Astyanax mexicanus: one gene and its partner. The protein of the gene in region 2 interacts with the protein of the main gene of each other region in a pairwise test. Links are inferred from orthologs where the notes say so. Each region holds a gene or a part of one and is shown on either strand. Other genes may lie near its edges. The genes, in order: pex7 and phyh.

Evidence for each region.
Region 1: the proteins of phyh (region 2) and pex7 interact in a two-hybrid assay, tested with the Homo sapiens proteins (2 studies listed by BioGRID, with this or other methods). The link is inferred for Astyanax mexicanus from reciprocal best matches to the Homo sapiens genes PHYH and PEX7.

What each region holds. Positions count from the first base shown.
Region 1 is NC_064408.1:82,755,748-82,767,392, forward strand, and holds the start of pex7 (peroxisomal biogenesis factor 7), read left to right. Parts: upstream 1-5,758; 5' UTR 5,759-6,104; coding exon 6,105-6,210; intron 6,211-7,057; coding exon 7,058-7,115; intron 7,116-7,695; coding exon 7,696-7,846; intron 7,847-8,258; coding exon 8,259-8,336; intron 8,337-8,790; coding exon 8,791-8,899; intron 8,900-11,645. UniProt on the Homo sapiens protein: Receptor required for the peroxisomal import of proteins containing a C-terminal PTS2-type peroxisomal targeting signal. Specifically binds to cargo proteins containing a PTS2 peroxisomal targeting signal in the cytosol.
Region 2 is NC_064409.1:12,377,570-12,390,085, forward strand, and holds the start of phyh (phytanoyl-CoA dioxygenase, peroxisomal), read right to left. Parts: upstream 4,914-12,516; 5' UTR 4,755-4,913; coding exon 4,683-4,754; intron 2,384-4,682; coding exon 2,331-2,383; intron 1,911-2,330; coding exon 1,800-1,910; intron 889-1,799; coding exon 720-888; intron 549-719; coding exon 467-548; intron 302-466; coding exon 120-301; intron 1-119. Other genes in the region: uncharacterized protein si:ch1073-67j19.1, read right to left, coding at 8,167-8,490, 8,841-9,144, 10,288-10,334. UniProt on the Homo sapiens protein: Catalyzes the 2-hydroxylation of not only racemic phytanoyl-CoA and the isomers of 3-methylhexadecanoyl-CoA, but also a variety of other mono-branched 3-methylacyl-CoA esters (with a chain length of at least seven carbon atoms) and straight-chain acyl-CoA esters (with a chain length longer than four carbon atoms).

The DNA of each region.
Region 1 (11,645 bases), on a different chromosome or scaffold from region 2:
CGCCCCAGCCCTGCCCTAGCTATTAGTGTTCTCACCTGTGTCTTGTCTGTAACCCCGCCCCCTCGTCATCCTAGCCCAGGTGTTTCTCACTCTCCTCATGTATTTAAGCCCGTCTGTTTGAATGTTCAGTGTCGAGTCTTTTGTATTTTGTATCCTTAGTAATCTTTGTATCCGTTGTATCTTTGTATCCTTGCCGTTCGTTTGAATCCTCGTCTTCCGTGCACTCTGATTTTGTGTTCCTAGTTCTAGTTTATCCTTGCCTTGTTTTCTTTGTAGTTTTGTGCGTTACCCGAGTTTTGTTTACTGTTTTATTTTATCTTGTTTGTTTAATAAATAATATATATTGCACTTACGTCCATCCCTCCGTCTCCCGCGTTACACACTGGTTAGCATCATGCATTCCCTCATTTTTACAAACATTTTTTGCATAGTTCAATAATTCAGATGGAAACGTTTAGAGTCATTCAGGGTTTGGGTTTTTTGTGAAAAGGTTTATTCTATAGAAACATATGTATTTACATTACTGATGATGAATAACATAGTTTTACCATGACTTAAACACAGATATATTCATTTTATTTACTGTCCAAAAGTCTTCATCTATCCATTAGTCTTATATGTCTTAAATGTGAACAAATATGTTTTCCTTGGGGCCTGCATGTAATTCTCATCATGAATGAAAATAATGTGTTTTAGACCAAATCAAAGGTTATCATAAAACAAAAACAGTGCTGTGGGCATGATGCATTATTTCATGTAATGACGGCTTTTTATGCAACTTTTCAGACGTCTAATCCATCCACCAGCAATGTGAACAGTTCTGATTCAGTACGTTTCTCATTATAGAGACATTTTGAAAGATTATAAGTATTTTTCCAAGTAATGGTAAACACACTCTATATGCACACTGTGTGATATACTGTTATCTATAAAGTACAATACATCAGAAAAGCAGCAGAAAAGTTGTGCCCACAGTTGTGTACATTTTTTCAGATAAACTTTAACTGGTGCTCTTTATCGTTCTTTACCTATTAGCTTATAGAGTATTGCTGTTACAGTGTAAGGCTAAAAAAAAACAATTAATCGACTACAGTTTTTGAGAAAACTTGCTTATTTTAAGTTTAAAACATCTCTTAATAGAAGTCTGTTTTATTCAGCTTCTCTTGCTTTGATAATGTTTTAGTTGGCACACCTGTTGTCAGTTAATTTCACTTGTGAATAAGAATCAAAAAGACACCATTGAATGTGACACTGTGTCACTGCATAAAGTACAGAGGGAGAAAACTGGCCTTTAGAGCAGGACGTACGCAGCCGTTTAGTGAAGCGCAGGCCTCAAAGTAGGAACATTGAAAAGCATGAAAGCAAAGCAACAGCGCTCGCTCCTCCTAAAGACGGGGCTCTGCGCCACTCTAATCCACTCTCTTTATGCTGCGGCCTGTTGGGCAGTTTTACATTAGTAAATCACTGTCACACCATTAAATTCCTTCCTTAAATTCCTAAAAGGAAAAGTATCAGCATTTCCAAGTGAATAGGGATTAGGGCAAACAGCGGCTGCTGCCCACCGACGTGCATGGGAACGGTGTGGGGGCCATAAATCCGGCAGTTATCTGCTTTAGAGCTGCTGGTCCCAGCCTTTGAAGTGGCCCTCCATATATCAAAGACGCACATGATCTGCCCAGAACATCTCACAGTCAAAACCCAGAAGCGTGAAAATGACAAGCGGGCCTCATGCTTTTCTTTATAGTGAACACATTTAAATGAGCAATAAATAAACAAAAAAAAAAAACATAAATATTTATAACTTTAATGAAATAAACATAATATATTTTATGCTTTATGAATAAACAAATAATGATAAAAGATTAAAAGATTAAATTATGAAATATCTAAATATCTTTTTTAATAAATAAATTCACTATGTGGACCAAAGTACTGGGACACCTACACATTACAGGGCTCTGTGTGGGCTAGTTCTTCACCAAATATTTCTCACACCAGACTCACCCAGCAATACATCCTAGACCTTGCTTTGTGCACTGGGGCACAGTCATACTGGAACAGCAAAAGACCTTTCCCACAGAAAACACTGGGCACACCTACATTTTACATCTACAGGAGCTTTTTACAAGATTCTGTAGTGTGTCTGTGAGTATTTTGGCCCGTTCCTCCAGGAGATCACATAATGCTGGACAAGAAGGCCTGGCTTGCAATCAGTTCTAAATGATCCCATTGGTGTTTAAAGGGGTTAAAGTAACCCAAACTTCAAGTTCTTTCACACCAAACTCACCTAATCATGACTTGGACCTGGTTTTGTGTACTAGGGCACAGCTTTACTGAAACAGAAAAGGGAATTTTCCCAAACTATTTCAAAGATGTATGCACAATTATTCAAAATCTCATGGTATGCTGAAACACTAAGATTTGGTGTGGTGAATATCTGAATTCTTGTAACTTGGCATATGCTGTACTTTACTCGAAATTGACCGTCTTAAGGAAAATTTTCAGAGAACACTGCAACAACAAAAACATCACAAATAAATACATCATATAGCAGGAGTATTAAATAAATTGACCACATTGGGCTGCTGTGGCTGCATGTTTTCATTCTCAACAACCAGCACCTGATTCCACATATTTAATGAGCGATAACTCACTGACCCTTTGTGGATAATGTTTGACACCCTGACCTAGAGTGCTAGAAATACTTTAATGCAAAAGTAAAACAAAGCTTTGTGAAGCCTGTAGGCCAGCCCCCATTATGGACTCAGGGTGTAGTGAAGCATGATACAGGATGCGCACAAATAAGTAGAACAGGGAAACAGATTGCAAAATGAATCCTGTGGAAATACATCATATTAAGGCAACAATATACTCGAGGTTCATGCTATAACATGTAATATTGGCACTGCTGTGCTCGTAGACATGAGGTTGCAGGCCAAGTGCCATAGATCAGCACAGCAGTGCCAAAATTACATGTTACACCTTGAGTGTATTATTGCGATTATACCACAGTTTCATTATCGCTGTTTATTAAAAAAGGGTACCACTTTAAAATAAGACTACCTTTATAGAGGGTTTATAAATGGTTTACGATTAGTTTATTAATGGTTATGTAAATGTAAATGCCTTAAAATAATGAATAATCAGTTATAACACATTCGTAGAAAGGGCAACAATATAGATGGTTGTGGGTTCACTATTTGTCAAACAACAGGTCATTGTTGCCCTTTGCACGTATGTGTTATAACTGATTATTCATTATTTTTAGGGCATTTACAAACCTTTTATAAACCCTTTATAAAGGTAGTCTTATTTTAAACTGGTACTGAAAATACAATCTGTTTGTATGTATAAAAACTCTGCGAGTTTAAATAGTTTCATTGCTGCTCGGCTGGTAAGCGTTGTATCGTTGCTAGGTTACCTGTATGTGGCGGAATAATACATGGAGAGCTTTGGTTACAGTGCATTACCAGCTGATAATGGCACTCACAGAACGATTCTCAAACAATTACATTGCAGGGTCAGAACTAACTGTGGTATAATATATAATATATTAAATACTTGCCAACTCCTTTTACACCAACTCCAGTCCAAATATAAGTCCAAATGCAAGTATTCACATGACCTTTTAAGGGTATTTTAGTTTGTGCTCCTCAGTCGACTTATTGAGACTTCATTTCTAGATGATGTGTGTATAAAACGTGTTGTTTATAATAAACTTCTAGTGCTCAGTGACTCGGTTTAAATATCATGGTCCTCAAAATTGTACCAATGAAGCTTTTTTGAACTTGTTATTGATGTAAAAATACAAATGTCCCTATCCCTAGCATTGTAAGCTTGTTGGGAGCATCGGCCAAAAGCGCTGTATTTTAGAATGCTGAGGGTGAATGGAGGTGGGCTATTCCACAACAGTTGGTACTCATTATCATGTTCCACTACACAACAAGTCCATTTCACACCAGAGTTTTCCTTCAATTGTTGGTGTAGTAGTGTGTAGTCATTCAGGTAACATTCTCCTGGAATTGTCCAGTATCAGTGTGCTTTACTCCACTTCATCCAATGTTTGTCCAGTCATGAGAAGAATTCCCGCAAATAAACACAATACCGCCACCCTGTGGAGAAACTCCTATGTGCAGCATCACATTGTCTCTCATCATTAAGGCCTTTGTGATATATTTGACAGCTTTCCAAAATTACTCACTATTTGACTTAAATTTCTTTATCTGTTTTAGAACATAGTGCGTGATAGTACGTTGTGACAACATTGTGAGCACCAAAACAATAGGTTGTCACAACGTGATTGTGTTTTCTAAAATGACATTGTCAGATAATGCACAAAGGAGCATGGTTGACTGTAATTTGAAAACTTGTTAAAAGGTAGTGTTATGACCAAGGCCATTATTAGGCCACTCTTACCTAATAATGACGTGTTTTGTGGCAAACGCTGATGATAAAACATAAACAGTAGGAATGAAAGAAAATTGAATTGTGATACTTTGTTTTCCAATACTGTATCGATTTTTCAAAACACAGAATATTTTTTATCTTAGTAGATTACATTAATAAATACAAATATATCCAAAGGGGACGATTTATTATATGCAGGGATTATATCTCTAAATGTTTTGCCTCTATCAGAAAATCCCTAGAGAGGAGTTTACTCACTTTGAGAATGTTTCGAAACTAGTGTCAGACACTAGAGGGCGCTCACGAGTGAGTCCAAAATAATGGGTTAACATGGAGCAAATGAGCAAAATCCTAGTTTATAAAAATTATTTTCATGCTGAAATTACTTATTTTATCACCACAGAACAATATCATTAACTATTTAATGACCGAAGACATATGTTTAAAGCTTTTAAACTCTAGTTACTCATATTTTACATGTTCTCTGGCTGTTTTATTTCAGCGTCAGCTCACCACCAGATATCTAACAGTAGCAGTAATGTTTGTCAAAAAACATTTTCTGTAGAAAAACATTCACGTAGGTGAATTTGCTTTTTTTGACAAAGTGTGTCATTCTACTTTATAAAATTAAGCAAATTCTTTTTTATATGTTTTAGACACTTTTAAATGTGAGTTTTTAAAGCTCCATTCAGCCCTTTTAATTTTGCACTCACTGGCTGGTGCCCTCTAGCGGCTGACAGTAACTTTATACTCCTATATAACAGGGTGACAGGGAGTGGGCAGGTGTTCTGTCGAGTTGTGCTACTCACAGACATCATATATATATATATATATATATATATATATATATATATATATATATATATATATATATATATATATATATATATATATATATATAAGCACAATATATATTTATATATATATAAGTATAAGTATAAGATGTCTATGGTGCAACTCATCGATATGCTTACCACCCGTGCGCCTTTTTCTAAATGATACAAACGTATAAGTAGAGAATAGAAAATAGCAATAATAAGCAATTAAAAATACAAAATATGTTTTTCTAATCACGTCTCATTACCTTAACTTTACTTTTTTCATACGGTTAGTTAGGTAGCTTATCCAAATATCCTGTTGGAAGCATAGTGTGCTTATTTTTTATATTTATACTTAAATATTCACTAGGGTAGCACGATTTGACAAGGTAGCACAATTCGACAGGAATTTTTTATATATGTTGATGTATTTGAGACTAGTGTCGCTAGTATATAATGTGGTCTTAAGGCCAATCAAAGAGCTCGGTGTTGGTTCCAGTGTCAGCAGGTCCACCAATAGGAGAGGACCTTTATTCGCTGCTGTGATCAAAATACGGAAATGTATCGCTACTGCATGTGAGGAGAGACTGGTGCAGCTTCTGTTCAGATTTTCTTTATTAACTGAATCTCTGTGCAGATTAAACTCCTGTAGAGAGATCGGGTCGGGGTTTAATGATGAGGTGAAAGTCGGGGTTTAGTGAAGACTGTCATCTTACTGAGATTAGTGGGGGAGTTTTCTGCTGGTAGTAAGTTTAGGTTAGCTGTGGGAGAGAGGAGTGAGCTGTAGAGGTGGAGGAGTGAGTGAATGAGGGAGGGAAGGATTGAGGGAGTGAGTAAGGGAGTGAGTGAGTGGGGGGCTGAGGGGAGTCTTTTCTCAGTATGAAGGGGTTCAGGTGTTCAGCTCGACACGGTTATGCTGTGGAAGTCTCCCCGTTTCTCCCTAACAGACTGGCGTGTGCTACAGCTCAGTATTATGGGATAGCAGGTAACGAGCTGATCCTCTATCTACACTGTTTATATTAACCTACAGTCTTACAGCACCAGTTGGCTTTTACACAGTGGTGCATGAAGCATAATTCACAGGATAAAAATCTAATTGCTTTAAGTTAGGTCACTAAACCCCTTAAAATTTCTGCCTGATATTACATGCCTATATCTTTTGAAGCTTAAAAATAAAAAGGATTCATGTTTGATAAGAAACGTTACTGAAAATTGAAATAGGAATTGAAAATTAAATCTGGAGCAGTAGAAATGTATTCTGTGGAGTGACTAATCACTCTTCTCTATCTGGCAGTCTGATGGGCGAGTCTGGGTTTGGCAAATGCCAGGAAAACATTATTATCCCTATTGCACTGTAACATCTGTAAAGTAAAAATAAAAAGTTTTTGGAAAGTAAAAATAGTAAATCTGCACAAATCATCAAATTTACACTTTCCTAAACTTTAATTTTAAACCAGTATTTTCCTCAACACAAATAAAATATATAATGCCCTCCAAAAATTTCATTTCATTATGGCTGTCTAGTTTTTATGTCTATTTTCCAATATTTGAGGTTGGTTCTTCGTACTCTGGAATTATTAGTAGAATATAAGAAAATGGACAGGCAGCTTCTGCAAGTCTCCTGAAGGATTCTCTAAAACCCTCAAAGTTATTAGAATGCAAATAACTTATTTTACTGCGGAAAAGAAGTATTACCTACACTTGTTTATTTTATATGATTTTATTTTATTTTGTTTTTTGGACAACTAGCTGTTCTTAAGGTGGATTTTTAGCAGGGATGTCATGTTTCTTATTTTAAAATGGTACTTTGTGCTTTTTATTGTTTGTTTTAGGCTGTGGAACGCTGTTTGTGCTGGAGCAAAGAGAAACTGATGTTCAGCTTCTAAGAAGGTACAGTAAGGTTTACCTGTGTACTGCTGACACAATTAATCTGATCAGATGTTTTGAAAGACATACCTTTACAGTCAAATGTTTGGACAAACCTTTTTTCTCATTCAATTATTTTCCTTTTAATGTTTTTTTTATATTGTAAATGTAATATTGAAGATAATAAATCTATACAGGAACACATGCAAATTATTTTTTAATCAGTACCAGAACATGTTTTATATTTAGATTCTTGTCTTCGTGAGATAGAGTCACCTGGAATAGTTTTCTCTAGAAATACCTAAAAAAGTTGAATTTATCAGTCATCTTATAATAAAAAGAGTGATCAAAGATCATGTAGTAACAGTCCACTTCCGTCTTATGTTAAAGATATGGACAGATTCTTTACTATTATTTTTACTCTGAAATCCTTTGGAAACAAGGGACATTAGGAGAGGAGATGCTCAGTCTCCCTTTGCTCAGGACTATAATGCAAAAAATCCATTACTTTCAACTCACAATGATTAAAAGAATCTTGATTATGGAGGTGTGTGAGCTTCATCTTTTTTACAGGAAGTTTTGTTTGTTTGTTTTTTATGTGCAGCTTTGACTGGAATGATGGGCTCTTTGACGTGACGTGGAGTGAAAGCAATGAGCACGTGCTGGTTACGGGGGGCGGGGATGGGTCACTACAGATTTGGGACACAGCCAACCCGAAAGGTCCAATACAAGTCCTGAAAGAGCACACACAAGAGGTAAAGTTTCAATATGCAGACAGCAAACTCCATCACAAGGACAATTGCTTAATTTCTTTGTTAGTATAGTTTTGAATATGTATTCTAAATTGTTGGACCAAGTCATTGTAAAATACAAACAATATAGTTGTGAAGTATAACAGAAATTAAATTAAAGTTTAATACAACTGTGTGCACAAAATTAATGTTCTATTTGTTCTTGGTGGTAATCCAGGTTGTATTGACATTTAATAAAAAATATCAAAAATGGCATTGATCCAGAATCCCTGTATTGGTGCTTCCCAAATTCATCTCAATAATCCAGATTTTGTCAGTTGGTGCATTTCTAGTTCCACCCTGTATGTCATCTTTGTCTGTCTATACTGAGTTACATCCAATTTCAGGTTATTATTTCTTGAATTTCTGAAATCAGGTCTATTCAGTGGATTGGAGTCAGACACGGGGGGAAAACCTGGTGGTGTCGGGGTCGTGGGATCATACAGCCAAAGTAGTAAGTGACACAGTGAATGTTGGTATTTGTAGATGTATTTTTTGTAATTCTGTGTTATTGTAAAATTGTTGTTAATTGTTGTAAATTAAGGGTCATTAGATTTGAGTTGGTATAAATGATGTTATTTTAGTTAGTGCATCTTTTCTGCCACATTTGCCATGAAGTGCTATATTTCTGATATTTCTGTTATTGTATTAAGTGAATTTTTAGAAGCTGCATTTATAACACAATGTTAATTATTTTTTAATTATGTGTGGAGAAAAAAAAGAAACAGCACATATATTTTCACCTCAAAGCAGCTACATTTAAAATAATTCAGATGGAAATTCCTGATTGGCTTAATATAAAATCCCAGATTATGTTCAAAGGCTTGGCATAGTCACAAGGTATACGTAAGCTCTGCAGTATATGAACTGCATTTAGTCCATGTGTAGTAAAATATGTTTCTTTACAGTGGGATCCAGAACGCTTCCAGTCTGTGTGTACACTGCAGGGTCATGAGGGGGTTCTCTACAGCACCATCTGGTCCCCACACATATCATCCTGCTTCGCCTCTGCTTCAGGTAAGGGTAATAGGAGGTTTATGATTCTCTTGCATTTGAAATATACTTATTATTTTAATGTGATTATGAAAGAACGGGCTATTGCCTTACTTCACCTTTTATGAGTGAACAGGTTGTGTTCTTATGCCAGTACTGTTCGAACCTTGTTCAAAGTAAGTGGGAAATGTACCCCAGAAACTTTGTTTTCCAGACTGTTAACAGGGGCCAGGATTTGTTGTTAGTTTACAATGTTCTGATTGTCTTCCATGTATTGTTTCTCGAATAAAAAGCAGTCTAGGCTTCAGCATTGCTTTACTTCAGTGTGAATGGGTGCTGCTGAACAGCTGTAGGTTGAAAATGCACTTATTAAATACTTTGTTAGGAAGACTACACTAATACCATGTAGGGCCTCCCTTTGCTCAAAGCCTCAATCAGCCTGATATTAATTTCACAAGATGTTAAAAACATTCCTTTGATATTCTGGTCCGTGTTGACATGATTGTCGAAAAGTCTTCTTGTAGATTCAAATATCGTAACTGGGAAATGCCACTTGTTGAACACTGAGTTCATTAAACCTGTTGAGATGGCTTTTTTGTGATATTCTGTGACATAATTCATCATCATGCTGGAAGTAACCTCTGGAAGAGTGATGGAGTAATGAAGCAGTAATTTTAGTAAGTCAAATTAGGACTGAGTCTTACTGAGTTTAGATTTGTATTAGATTTAAATTTAGATATAGCGATGTTGATATTTTAGCAGTAGTATTAAAATAAACTGTCATTTGGAAGATGATTGATTATTTTTGTGCATGGATTCATTCTACTGGTACCAAGTCCCTTCAGGAGTACCTACAAAATACTGAGTACATCTGTTACCTATAAGAACGTTTTTGGACAATATATTGTTCCAGTAATAATCAGGATTAATTATATTATTGTTACTTTAAGACTATTTTATTCCACTGATATCACAATATTATAATGGCATTGTTATGTTGTTCCACACTTTTCACATCATTTAAACCTGCTTTGCTACATTAGGACCTGAACAGCTTACAGTCATTAAGGGGAACATGAATACCCAAGTTTATTAAAAAAAATATGCAGGACAGTGTAAGAGTGGCTGTACTTTTGTACTGAAATTGTAGACAAGTTCGGTAATGCAACAGGACAATGACCCAAAACACCAGAGCAAGTCCACAGTAGAATGGCTTAAGAAAATCAAAATACTTATTTGTAGTGGCCAAGTCACAGCCCAGATCTCAGATGCTTTGGTTTGATTTGAAGAGAGACGTACATTTAAGATGTCCAAGAATTATGGCCGAGCTAAAGCAGTTCTGCCAGAAAGAATGGGCTAAAATTCCTCCTGAATGATGTGCAGGTCTGAGCCGCAGCTACAGGAAGTGCCTGGTTGAGACTATTAAAGTTATTTATGACAAATTTGTGCAGAAAAACATTAAAATTCTAAAGGCTCACATACTTTTTCTTGACACTGTGTGTCTGTGTTTGCTTACAAAATTTTGGCAGGGCTGCTCTTCTCTTCATTATTGTAATGAATAATATGGAGGGATCTGTATTTATTAAAAGCTGTGCTTCTGACATACCTGAGTGATTGCACTCTTCTGTTGCTGTGTATTTTTCATTTGATGTAATATATAACAAAAATAACTGGTTTAATCATATGAATGTGGTCTCCTTGCTAAAAACGTAAAAGTAGTAGTAATTTAGTCCATCCAGTGAATAACTATATAGCATCTACTACTTCCTTTTCTCTTCTTTTTTTTATTTTTGGCATAAAAAAAGCTAAAATGTCCTTTGCTAAGACTAACATTTGTTTGAATGCACAGGCACATGAAGTAAATTACCTTACAGTAGTAAAGATAAAAACTGATTTCTCCCGAAGTTATTTGTTGTAAAGACTAAATTATTGAGCTAATGTCCATGTATTAAATGATCACTTAATTATGTAATTATTTAAACACGCCTAGACTCAAGCTTGAATAAACATATCAAGGATACATGTGACCATGCTATTCCAGACCAACCAGTTATCTTGATTTGTTGTTTGTTTTTGTGTGTGTGTATATATATATATATATATATATATATATATATATATATATATATATATATATATATATATATATATATATATATATAAATATATATTAATTTTTCAACTTTAGCTGTATCCCTGCGGCCAATGGAGGGCCACAGTCCACTGGTATAAAACCAGGTTATGTGTTGGGGATTCAGCACCCGCAGTACAGTTACAGTGCTTTAAATGACCACATGAGGGCAGTGATGATGCACTACCTCAATGTCCTCAATCATTCTTAAATTCAGTGTGTTGAAAAAATGGTCTGGGACATTGTGGGCTACTTTGGAGGTCTGATGCCAGCGCAAAAGAGAGCCTCCAACAATGCTTCCACAATAGGGTATTGTTTTTTTTATTGAGTTTAATAGGTCTTACAAAAAGAAAACCTTTCATTGTAATTCACGTGCTTCTGCCTTTGCTGCTTAAAGTGCATGAACCTTGTATTTAATCAGGCCAGTTTTTTTTTTCGTCTGTGCCTGTATGTAAGATTAAATTTTTTTGTGAAATAGGCAATGAGAGAAGTGAGCATGTTTTTGGGATGTTTTTAGGAACGAGACAGGATTTGTGAATGTGAATGACTAAGAGATTATTTCGTGTGTATGTGGAGCCTAGAGACAGAGTCAGTGACAGTGTTTGACTGGATGAGTGAGTGTATGTGTTGTTTGCTAGT
Region 2 (12,516 bases):
GGAAACTGCAGAGACTGAAGATGGCACATTTATCTATCGGCATATCTATAGTTATATACACGCACACATTTAACATTCACTCAAGTACAGCTCTGTCACACCTCCTTCTCTCCTCTCACCTCCCATTCTGGATAGTCATGTTCCTGAAGGGTGCCCTTGTGGCTTCCAGGAAGCACTACCAGGCAGCCATTCTGTCGGTTCACCTTCTCCATGGCAGTCCAGGCACAGACAATGTGGTCGACTGGGCGAAAGGGAAAGTAGTGCAGGTCCTGGTGCATGGGGTGACGAGATGTCTTCTTTCCTGAGAAAAAAACAACTCTTTAAACCCTATCTTTGTGCAAATAATTCTAACAGTGTATACAAGTTTACTTAAAAAACAAACTAGTTAATAGATCTGCATAACCAAATATCACTACCAGAAAGTACAGCTGGGTATAGTCTACTTCATATTTAGGTGTGTGTTTACCTGCATCTGGGGGTTTATTAATGAGCATTGTGTGCATTGCCATGATGTTGGGGCCAGTAAAACACTCCACATACTTCAGAATCTGTAACAGACACAAGTATCTGTTGCAGTGCAACATTTCTCCATATAGCTGGATAAAGGCACTGCTGGCCTGTCTCAGCCTGCTAGGTTTTATTATTAAAATATGGAGCCATATATCACACTTTACAGTATTCCAATTTATAGCTAGCTGCCTGTTTGTGTGTGAATGTACCTGGGGCAAACTGCAGTAGCGGAATAGTTCTGCATCATCCTGGAAATCCTGAAGTTTAGATACAGCCTTCTGATCACGCACAAACTCAGACTTCGCAATAGCTACATCTCTCATCACCACCATGCCTGGAATCTTCACGTCTCCTTTACAGACACGCTCAAACTCTGCCCTGCAGGCACACACACAATAAGATTTATTAAACACAGTTGTCATATACACTTGTAAAAATAAAGGTATTTTAAATGGTTCTTTGTGGGATGCCATAGAAGAACCACTTTTGGATCCATAAAGATCTAATTCTTTCAAGGCTATCTAAACATGGCAAATCTGATTTGTTCAAAACAAATCTAAGACACTGTGATATGTGTTCCTACATCGTGTACAGATCCAAATTGTAGGAATGTGATATAAATGTGAATGGTCAGATCGGATTTAATAAGCCTGTACATGAGCATTGTGAGAGGAATCGTTGTAACAGTTGTAAGCTGTGGAGGCATGCATTAACATATTATTGTGCGTGTGTGCTGTTTTAGGTAAAATCTTGTGGCACTACCACTTATTATTAATACAAACTAGTTTTGGAGTATGCATTATGTTGTATAGATTAAAGTGTCAAAGTTAAATATACTCAGATATCCATAATGCACTCTCAGAGCTTGTGGGTTTTTGATTTTTTTCTAAGAAAATGCCAGCTAACAATGCCGCAAAACGGCAGCAGAAAAAGCTGCAGTATGTATTTTTGTATAGCAATACTTTACTTACTACATTACATGAATACTGAGTGTTCTAAGGTGCCAACCTGCACTATTAAATTATTATATATTCATATAGTATTAATGTATAGTACACAATTGCGATGCAGGGTGTTGCTGCCACCTTGTGTTCGTCTTAAGGGAGTGCAATTAGGTGGAAAACTTACCAAAAACATTTGACCTAAATGAAATATATACTGTTGGATAAGCCAAAGCATCTGAAAGGCATAACCTAGGCTCTTGCCTATATAAATAATTACCTGTACACAATTAATACTACCAAAGTTACTCAAACTGTGTTAATAAACAGACTGCGAGGCATAGCTACCTAAAACGATCAATGTCCTCTTCGGAAACCAGGTTTTTGATGAGTAAAAAGCCATTTTCTTCATAAAAAATCCTCTGCTCTGGACTCAGGAAACCTGTGTCAAAGGTGTACCTGCACAATGGAAGCCACAATAAGTGTCATACAAAACAATGTAATATAGATCGGAAACCAAGGAGTTCCTGGGATGGATTTTTACTAGGACTACCCACCTGTAGTAATATAACAGTTGTGACATTGAGATGCCTTATTAAGGTAAATATAACTATTATTCATTTATGTGCACTTAACACAGAAGGAAGTCTAACAGACACTGTGTACCCAGTATTTAAATAAGGTACACACTGTACATTTCCCTATTGGGTATTCCCTGCACTATTTAACACTAAACAAAACAGCATCAGCATAAAGAGAAGGAAACTTTTTCTCCACCCTAAAAATGATTCTGGTGAGATTTCTAGCTGCATGTCATTATATAGCTACTTTATATTGATTTCATTTAGAGTTTGCAAGTTTTAAAACATTTTAACTTACCGTAATGTTTGAGGATGATATGACACTGCCTGGGATGAAGTGAAGGATGAGCGCTGTTAGAAGCAGTTAAGGAAAAAGATTTAGAAATCATATTAATTTAGATTAATTTAGATGTAAACATATACAAGTATGCAAATTACATCAAACATATGACAGATGACATTACAGAAAATTGATCATAGTGGTAGTTCAAACAAGTCACAAAGATTCAGCATAAATCCTGGCCATATAAAAGGAGAAGCAACATAAGCATTAAACAACAAAAAAATAAATTAATAATTCATATACATACGATTCTCATTAGGTAATGAGACACATTAAGTAATGAGACACAAAGCATAAATATAAGATTGGTTGTGGTCCAGCGGGCTATTAAGGGGGTTAAAAAGATGGGGACATATTACACCACATGTGTCAAACACAAGGCCCGCGGGCCAAATGTGGCCCGCCACGTCCTTTTATGTGGCCCGCGAGAGCTTGTAAGATCTTAGTGTCTATAATAAATGGATCAGAAGCGTGCTTTGACCAAAAACTACGTTTCCCACAATGCTTGTCGATTGTATTACCCGCGAAGTTACGGCTTACTGCCACTACACGGCAGTGTAGTCATTGATGTGGAAACCCTGCCGGAGGGAAGGCGTAACTTCGCGGGTGAAATGTTTATCCCATAATGTCCAGAAAAAGAGAAGCTGATTCAGACGGACGGCTGTGCTTCAAGGAGAAAGAATGGTATGCCTTTTGTGTTACGAAGAGTGTTACTGACCAAAATAAACGCTTTTTAGAAGAGATATAAGTTATGTGTAAATATTTATAAGACAATAGCTGACAAAATCTGTTTTAATGATTTTAATAAACATCACTGTGTCAGCGCTATTCAGTTTCACCGCAGCGAAGGACGAAGACGTGAATCACTTATCTAACCAGCCTGTACTGATTTCTGCTCCAATAACCCTTTCAATAACCTCCAATAGCCTTTTATAGTCTTCAGTAGCCTTCAACAGTCTAACCCTGCAGCCGTGGTGTGTGCACTAAACTCCGTAGTTATAAACATTCTGAGGTTAGCAGCGCGCTAACTGACCTGTTTATAATGTAACGTTAATCCGAGCAGTGACTCCGTGACGCTGCTCTGAACTGCTGCTGTTAGCTGCTTGTGCTGAAAGATGAGCTGTAGAGAGCTGTATTATCCGGTTAGTGGGGTTAAAACCTTTATTTCCTACACAGAAGAACTTAAAATGTTTTAAAAACGCTCCAGACTGGCTGAGCTGAGCCTGTAGCCCGTGGCTGGGCTGTAGCTCTGACTCAGTGAAGACAGCGGGGGCTTGTGCTGCTGCTGCAGCTCCCACTAGTGGTTGGATGAGGAACTGCTAAATCTGAGGAAATGCTAAATCTATCACATATTCTTAACAGCTCACAATTTTTGATTTTATATTTATTAAGCCTTATTTCAGTATCAAACGTTTTGATCAAAGTTAATATAACTTGTATTTTATGTCATTTCTATTCACTTGAATAGTTTGGTTCTTGATTGATGGAGTTTTTGGATTTCATAACATGACAAATTAAAAGGATTTATGTTAATAGAGCAACAAGCAAACATTTTTTCCATTTAGAGTTATTTAACATTAAAGAGTAATTACATTCATTTTATATTACATTTGGTTACATTTTATTACATTTATAAGTTACATCTGGCCCTCAGAGGACAGCCAATATGCCAATGTGGCCCTCGGCCAAAATGAGTTTGACACCCCTGTATTACACCATTTATTAGTTAAAGATAATTAGTTCACACTGGAAAAATAAATGCAATAAATGTTTCATCAAAAATCCATGAACCTGAAAATTACAGAATTCACTCGCTATGTAAAATGTTGACATGTAAGTTATTTCTCTGGTCTTTTTTTGAATTAAAAGTCAAGTCCTTCTCCAGTCAATGGAGAAGTGTGTGTTTAATAACACACACTCAGTAAAAATGACAGAATTGCCGGTGCAGTGAATAATCTGCAGGCGGTGTCGTCGCTTTTTATTTCTCACTAACTTTATGCGTTAAAGTTAAACAAAATAGCCATGACAAGTGTATGACAAGCTTGCAAACGTAAAAAAAATAATCGTAAAATAAACCATAATAAGCAGTGGCGTTTAAAATTGTGTAGAACAGTGTAAAACATTGAAAACTCTCTAAACGGACCACCTTTCTTGCATAACCGGCCCATCATAGCCTCGGACTGTCGTTGAACCTGAACACGCAGCACGCTGCACTAAGACCGGGCGCTCGCTGTGAGGAAACAGCTAGCGTTCCCTACATTAAGTTGCTAAACTAGCAAGCCATCAGGCTAACGCTCAAAAGGATACAACAGAAGCAGAGTTGGAGCGGTCCAGATGATTGAGGACAACCTTCAGCCTGTCCGCTGCGCGTCGAGACATCTTGTTTAGCCCAAAAACCAAATAAAATAAGCTCTTCTGCTGACAGCAGCTTCTGTGTGCACTCTCTGGTTCCTCCCAGCGCTTCTGTTTGCCTACATATAGGTAGCTTAGCCTAACTGGGACAAAGTACCAAAGTACGTGACAGGCAGATACACTGACACTTAGCCCAGATCCCTCAGCACACAGTCTGATAAGAACTGTATTATATAACTGACAATATTGCAATTAAGCTCATTTTACAAAACTAAAACGCTTTCCATGATGTAACATTTTATGTAGATTGATATGATCTTGTTATGGTGAGGGTTTATTCTACACCAGAGGTAAATCACATTTTATATATCTTTGAAAAAGAACATTACCCCCCCCCCCCCCAAAAAAAAAGAATAAATAAATAAATACATAATAATAATAAAATAATACTGCTCATCTGACATTGTAATCGTCTTTTATATTAAAAAAAAGAGACAGAGTTTCTTACTAATGTACCATAAATGCAGAGATATGCAGAAAAGTGAAATATCTAATTTTGTGGCCATTTAATTTTATTGTAGTAACTGTTAACTTTTATACATGTAGTTGTTATGTTGCTCCTCAGTTGATGCTCTTAAATTCACTATGCATTCATAGGTATGTCTAAATTTTTTTTTTTTTTTTTTTTTAATAAATTTGTTTGGTTTGTATTCTACAAAAGTGGGTCGTGACTTAATGACCATGAGAAAATCTGGGTCCCAGGCTAAGACCAGTTGAGAACCCCTAATTAAGAGCCTATAGTTTCCACTGTATATGATTAGACATAATGACATTAATAATAAAGAATACATGTAGTAACGTAATAATATCAACACAAATCTTGAAAATACTAAATTCACTTAATGTCTAAATAAATGTATGTTCTTTTAAATGACTTTATAGGATTTTAAAATTCTAAACTATAAAAAAATCTCTTTTCATTTTCAAATCCACTGTGAGTTTGCCTAAAATCCTTAAACACAGTCGTAGAGTGGGGAAATGTGCACAGTGTTATAGCAGCAACATTACAGTAGGACAAAGGTAGAATTTTTTTTTTTTTTTTGAGATATTTTATTATGAGCAGCAGAAGAAGAAGATATACAATACAGCTACTCAAAAAGGAGTGGGAAGAAGAAAACTTATTTAAACCCACCCCTTTCTTCAAAATTAACATAACTTACATAGCTTACATAGCCACTTCCCATCGACTTACATTAGATGAAACTTAACAACAGAGAAAATTAAATTTACAAATACTTAGAATCCTCTAACCTAGATACCAACAGCGATAGTAAAGAAAGTTCTAATACTATACACAAGCAGCCCTCATACCAACAGTGGTAAAAGGGCAACCATACTAGTTACGGTAACAAAGGCTCTAAAAATCCAACTTTGTGTATAATTCTCATTGCTCGTTTTTGTAATTTAAATAGTGTTTGTATTGTACATTGATCATTGTTGCCCCATATTTCCGCACAATATGATAAGTATGGGAGAACTAGAGAACAATATAGTATACGGAGTGCTTTATGATCGAGAAATTGCTTTACTTTGTTCATAATAGAGAGGCTTTTGGAAATTTTTGTTTTTATGTGTCTGATGTGGGCTTTCCATGTTAATTTACTGTCTATTATTACTCCTAAAAATTTGTTTTCAGTTACACTTCCAATTGGGGCACCATCTATGCTTATTTGAAATACAGAATTAATCTTATCATTACCAAATATCATTGCTTTTGTTTTAATTAAATTTAATGATAACTTATTTCTGTCCATCCATTCTTTTATTTTACTTAATTCATCATTTACAGTATTTATGAGTTCATTATGATTGTCACTGCTATAAAAAATATTAGTATCATCCGCAAATAATATTAGTTTTAGTGATTTTTATACATCGAAAATATCATTAATATACATGTTAAACAATTTTGGGCCCAACACGGCCCCCTGGGGGACACCACAAGCGATGCCAAGATATTCAGATGTATAATTACCCATTTTCACATATTGAACCCTTTCTGTGAGATAACTCTCTATCCAGTTACCTGCTACTCCTCTAATTCCGTATTTCTCTACTTTTTTAATAATATTGAATGGTCTATAGTATCAAATGCCTTTTTGAGGTCCATGAATATTCCAACTGCATATCTTTTCCTGTCCAATGCATTTGTAATTTCTTCTATTGCCTCAATAATAGCCATTGAAGTAGTTCTTTTGGCTCTGAAGCCATATTGACCTTCATTTATTAACTCAAATTTTTCAATAATTTTTTCTAAACGGGAATCAAACAATTTTTCTAAAATTTTTGAAAATTGCGGAAGTAAAGAAATAGGTCTATAATTAGTAAAAATATATTTATTGTCGTTTTTGTAGATTGGTACAACTTTTGCAACTTTCATTTTTTTTCGGAACACATCCAGTTTGGAAAGACAGATTACAAATATAGGTCAGAGGTTTTGAAATGTTATTTATAACTTTTTTAACTAATACCATATCTATATCATGACAATCTGTAGATATTTTACTTTTACATTCGTTAACAATATTTTTTACTTCATGTTCATCTGTTGCAGAAAGAAAGATTGAGTTTAAGTTTCCTTTTATAGTTTCATTGGACTGATGATGTCCTAAACTTGGGATATCAGCAGCCAAGTCTGGGCCAACATTGACAAAAAATTTATTAAACCCATTTACTATTGTTCATATTGAAATCATAAACATTTTTATCAACAAAATGATCTGGATACTTAGTTTTTGAAAATATGGTAACAAACTCAATATTTAAACATATACCATTACATTATGCCACAGCCAGTACAAATTATTTATCATCTGTTCAAACAAAACCAAGAAATAACACCCCTTCTACTCTAAATTAGTAAAATAATTACTTGTAAACATGTATATTGGTATAAATGAACATGTATTGGAAATATTGAAACCTTCAGATCGCATATTAAACACAGTTAGGTTGTTAAATCGTGTTATATTATTTATTCAGTGGGGCTTAAAGTTATATTTAAATATTTCATTTAAATATACCTTGATCATTAAATTATTAAATTAAAAATATTTTATATTATTGGTTGTATTATTATGAGATTATTTATTACAAGAAAAACAAGAGAAGCTGGTAATGGGTGTTTTATTCATTTGCAGCATATTTACACATTTAAGATGAATAAAAAAGGCTCTGTATGCCAAATTACAGGTCTTACATGTTTAAAAATAAGGATGCCAAAAATACGTTGTAACAGCAGTGCTGAAGAAACACCAGAACCGTCCAATTTATATAATTTTTTATTACCCACTGAAAGATTCTTAATGCATCCTAAAATATTTCTCATATTAAATCATCTCAATAGAACCCTTTTTGGCACTATTAATTAATAATTGGCTCAAGAGGTGGCAAAGAAGTCATGCTCATTCTGCATTTGCATTCGGAAGATGCGGTTGGCCTTCTGCACTTTCTTATCTGTGTTCAGGTGCTTGTTCAGAATGTCCTTGTAATGCTTTTCAGGGTGGCCACTCATATTGCCTTCTTTCCATGTGTAGTAGGCATTGGTTTTGGGGATGTCTAAGTTATTAGCTAGCCAGAGCCAAAGCCTGGAGCAGGGCAAGAGAGACACAGTGAAGTAGATTGGATCTTTCACATTCATCACTGCATTGTAGTCAGACAGATACTTCTTCATGGCTGGTGTGGGACTGATGGGTGGTGCGGCCTGTAGTCAAGACAATCATGTAAATGTTTGAGATACATGAACATAACCTTAATAACATAACCCTGTCAAAGCAAAATTATAACTTAAACACATCCAATATGCAAATATAAAGTACCAGAAGCCAGCTGGAAGGCTGTATGGGCCAATACTGAAGTAAGAGCCTTGGTGCATGTACAGTTAACAAAAGGATAAAAAATCTTTTTTGTTGGCTAAACAAACATTTTTATAAACATTATTTAAACTTGGAAACTGATAATATTAATTAATCTCACTAAAATACAAAATCATGTTTTTCATTCTGCCACTAAACATTCAAAGAACTGTTTTTGTATCTTCCAGCTCTATCTTACCTTGAGGAAATACTGGCTGAGGAATGAGTCTGCAAAGCTCTTGTAACTATTATATCGGCCTTTCATGAAATCGCTCAGGTCATGTGGACGTTTGACCGTCTGGCTCATCTGCTTTAGCATCTCAGTCACTTTCAGCAGGTAGTTGATGTCCTGCAGGGTGAAGTTAACGTAGCGCTCAGCCTGCAGGCTGCCGTTCTGCATTTGTACCAAGAAATCGAGATGGAGCGTTTTGTTGGCAATGTCCATGTTGTTGTTCCAGAGATTTTCATAGATGTCCACTTGTTGCTTGGAGGCTAAACAATGGCTACAGAAATATAAAAGCAAACAAATTCGTTTTTTAAAAGTGCTATATGTGTATATGCTTTACCCTGGCATGAAAAATGTCTTGGGAACTAGTATTGTGTCCCATGACTTTTGCCATGGCCCATGGAAACCAAAGAACACTGCACTGCCCTGTGAGATATGCATGTGAGGTGCCCTGCATAGAAAGTAGATGTGATTTTTCTCAGAGTCGCTTGGCAGTTTGCATGGACAATTACAGATTGAGTCACAATCATTTCCACCCACTGTTCTGTACACTGTGTATTGCCTTTTATGTGTGACATAGATGGAGATGTTTTTGGGATGGTAAATGCCCACATGTCTACAGATATGGACGCCCACTGTCAGGTCTCACTTGAAGCTGATAAGTCATGTTGCCTTACCATGAGCACGCTGACTAATGTTTAGCCTCACTCTTTAACACTTCACAGCTTTTACAAGTGTGTCTGTTCCCGCGTAATTTCTTGAGGTAATACTTCATGATCAATTTACAGACTGCTATCACATGAATCGTGGCATGTCATTTAATTGATGCATTTTATATCCATTATATATTATCATTGCATAAAACAGATGCATATATACAGCATACTTCAGCACCATGCAGCCCCTCTTAATTACATTTTTCTTCAGTTTTTATCTTCTTGGGAAACATTTGTTGTGTATTTTATGTTTCAACATAAGGTATAAATAAGCACAATATATAACAGTAAATAAAATCACTGGATATTTGCCTCAAAACAAAACAAAATTGTATATTATATTATATTTTACTGTTTAAAGTACATCGTATCCCTCACTAACAATAGACATCATAGCACATCTGTTATTGTTTTATATATTAAAGGGATTTAACTGTATGTAATTATATGAAAAAAGTGTCCCAAAAGGGTCCTTTGTTAGTGATATTTTCATCCTCCTAATCAAATGTACACCTAATTATTTGTTTCAGTTTTGCATTATATTTGAATAAGATCTAAAAAAAAAAATAACTAAAGTACATAACCGTGTTAGTGGTAATAGTGTGTTTCTATGTCTTTTAATGAACAGAAATTTTATACATACATCTGGATTTATGTACACATAAAAAAATCTAAAGGAAAAAATAGGTGTAATGAGTCCTTACCCCAGAAATAGCAGAAAAAATGCACAGGAAAATGCAGCAGAGTTCATCTTCACCTTCTCTTCAGTAGTTAGATTCACAGCTACTGCTAAACTGTTGGACTGGTCTGCTGTGAGAGGAGATGCTGCTCTTCTTTAATACTGCTCATTGGTGTTGTAATCTGGAGACATCATTTGATTGCATTTTACCGGACGTGACTTGTATGGTCTAATTTCCAGTATGTCCAAAGGTTTATCTGACTTGTAACGAAAGCAAAGTAATTGCAGTATCAATGTAAGACACAATGAGCTTCCTTTTTTTTTCTTTCATGGTTTTGAAAGTCACTTTATGGCAAAAGTATGTATTTTATGCTTTCCCATTCTAAACCCACAAACATTAATGTTGTCCAAATTTTACAGGAGGTGTGAAACTTTATTGGGTCAACAAGTGTTAATTAACTTTATTAATGCACTTTGTTCCACAGAGACCCCACTCTGTAACTTTGTGTGGTTGGACATTTTGTGGCTGAGATGCTGTGGTTCTTAAACACTTCTACTGTTTAATAACACCACTCACAGCTGAGGGGATACACATCCTGTAATTGTGAAGACATTTCACCAACTGACTTGTTTCAGCAGTGCCATCCTATGACAGTCCCACACTGGAGTTCAGTGATCTAGTCAGAACCACCCATACTTCCACTAATGTGTGTAAATGCAGGTTACATGGCTTACAGTTCCAAGCATCTGTGATGGATCATTACACAATGGAAATGCCAGTCTAAAGGCCTGGATCTTACATGGTATGGGATATGTTAGTGCATTTTTGTCATGGTGGCAAAGAATGCAGAAAAAGTGCATTGAGCAACACAAGTTTTTTTTCAGGGATGTCCATGGAGTTTTCAACAAGAAAATGCAAACCCACATTTAGCACTCATTGCAAAAGAGTGGAAGTGGAAGAAGAGGGTGTGTGTATATTGGACTTGGCCTGTCTGGAGTCCTGACCTGTCCCCAGTATTATATGTGTGGGGAAATTTAAACTGAAAATGAGGCAATAGTGACATATTTGCAGGAAGAATTGGACAAGATAACACCTGAATCGTTTTATTGGTTGGCATCTTAAGTGCCAAAAGTTTTGTGAAAAGAAATGGATACAATACAAATTGGCAAATGCTTTATTGTCCCAAATTAAGTTGACCAGACAAATTAATCAAATTCTGTATGTTCACAGTGCTATAATGAGATAAAAGTCAAATAAATGTATAAAACACTGCATTTCTTAATTGCATTTTCCATAAAATCCATACTGAATATAATAGTACAAACCTATTTATACAGTTGTAAATTTAAATTATATTACAAATACAGACTTTTTATAAATTTAGTAAGCAGGGCCTTGCAACTAAAGTGAATGAACAAATTTTCATATGATAGCTGTTTTCACTGCTTTAATGTAAAATGCTTTTTCTTAGGAATTAGAAACAATAACTACTAAGGTCATGACCTTAGTATACTATATCCATGACCTTCCAGTCAAACTCATCATTTGGAAACAAAAGATTGCTACACACTAATGACGCATTAAAGCTCATTTAGAGGAAATGCAAAATGTTCTCAGGTCATGCAGATATTTTTTATAACTGCTAATGCACATACATTCATTTTTTGAATACCTTATACACAAATTTAAAAATGCATCAAGCCCTATACGGTAATAAAACTATTGCAGCTGAATCACAAGAAAATCACCACAGGACATTTTGTAATATCTTAATATCTGTTTTCACCACCTGGGCAGATGGTAGAGTATAGAATGGAATTTCCTTTCCCAATCAAGAAAATGTTTGAGTTACTCTAAGTATCCATTTTTCTTTCACAATTTGAAACATTTGAACACAGACATAAAATATTTAAACCTTTTTTTACTCTTCACACTATATTTTAATGTCAACTATGTTTAACGGTTCATGTTCCTAAACTAATGCACATAAACAAAAGACCTTATATTCACTCAGGGTTTCGGTGTCCTTTTTGCCAGAGAACAGGGAAAATACAGTTATAGTTACAGTATGAATAATTATAATAACAAAAATGCACAAAAAGAATGTACAAAAAATTCAAAGCGCTTGGATCTCATCAAACACATAGGCGGGGCAGAAAGGGATACTGTACCGCAACTTTCATTTTGATATTTCCATGTAGTACTGCAATACACAATACACAGAATACATCCTTAACTTCTGTTTTTCACATT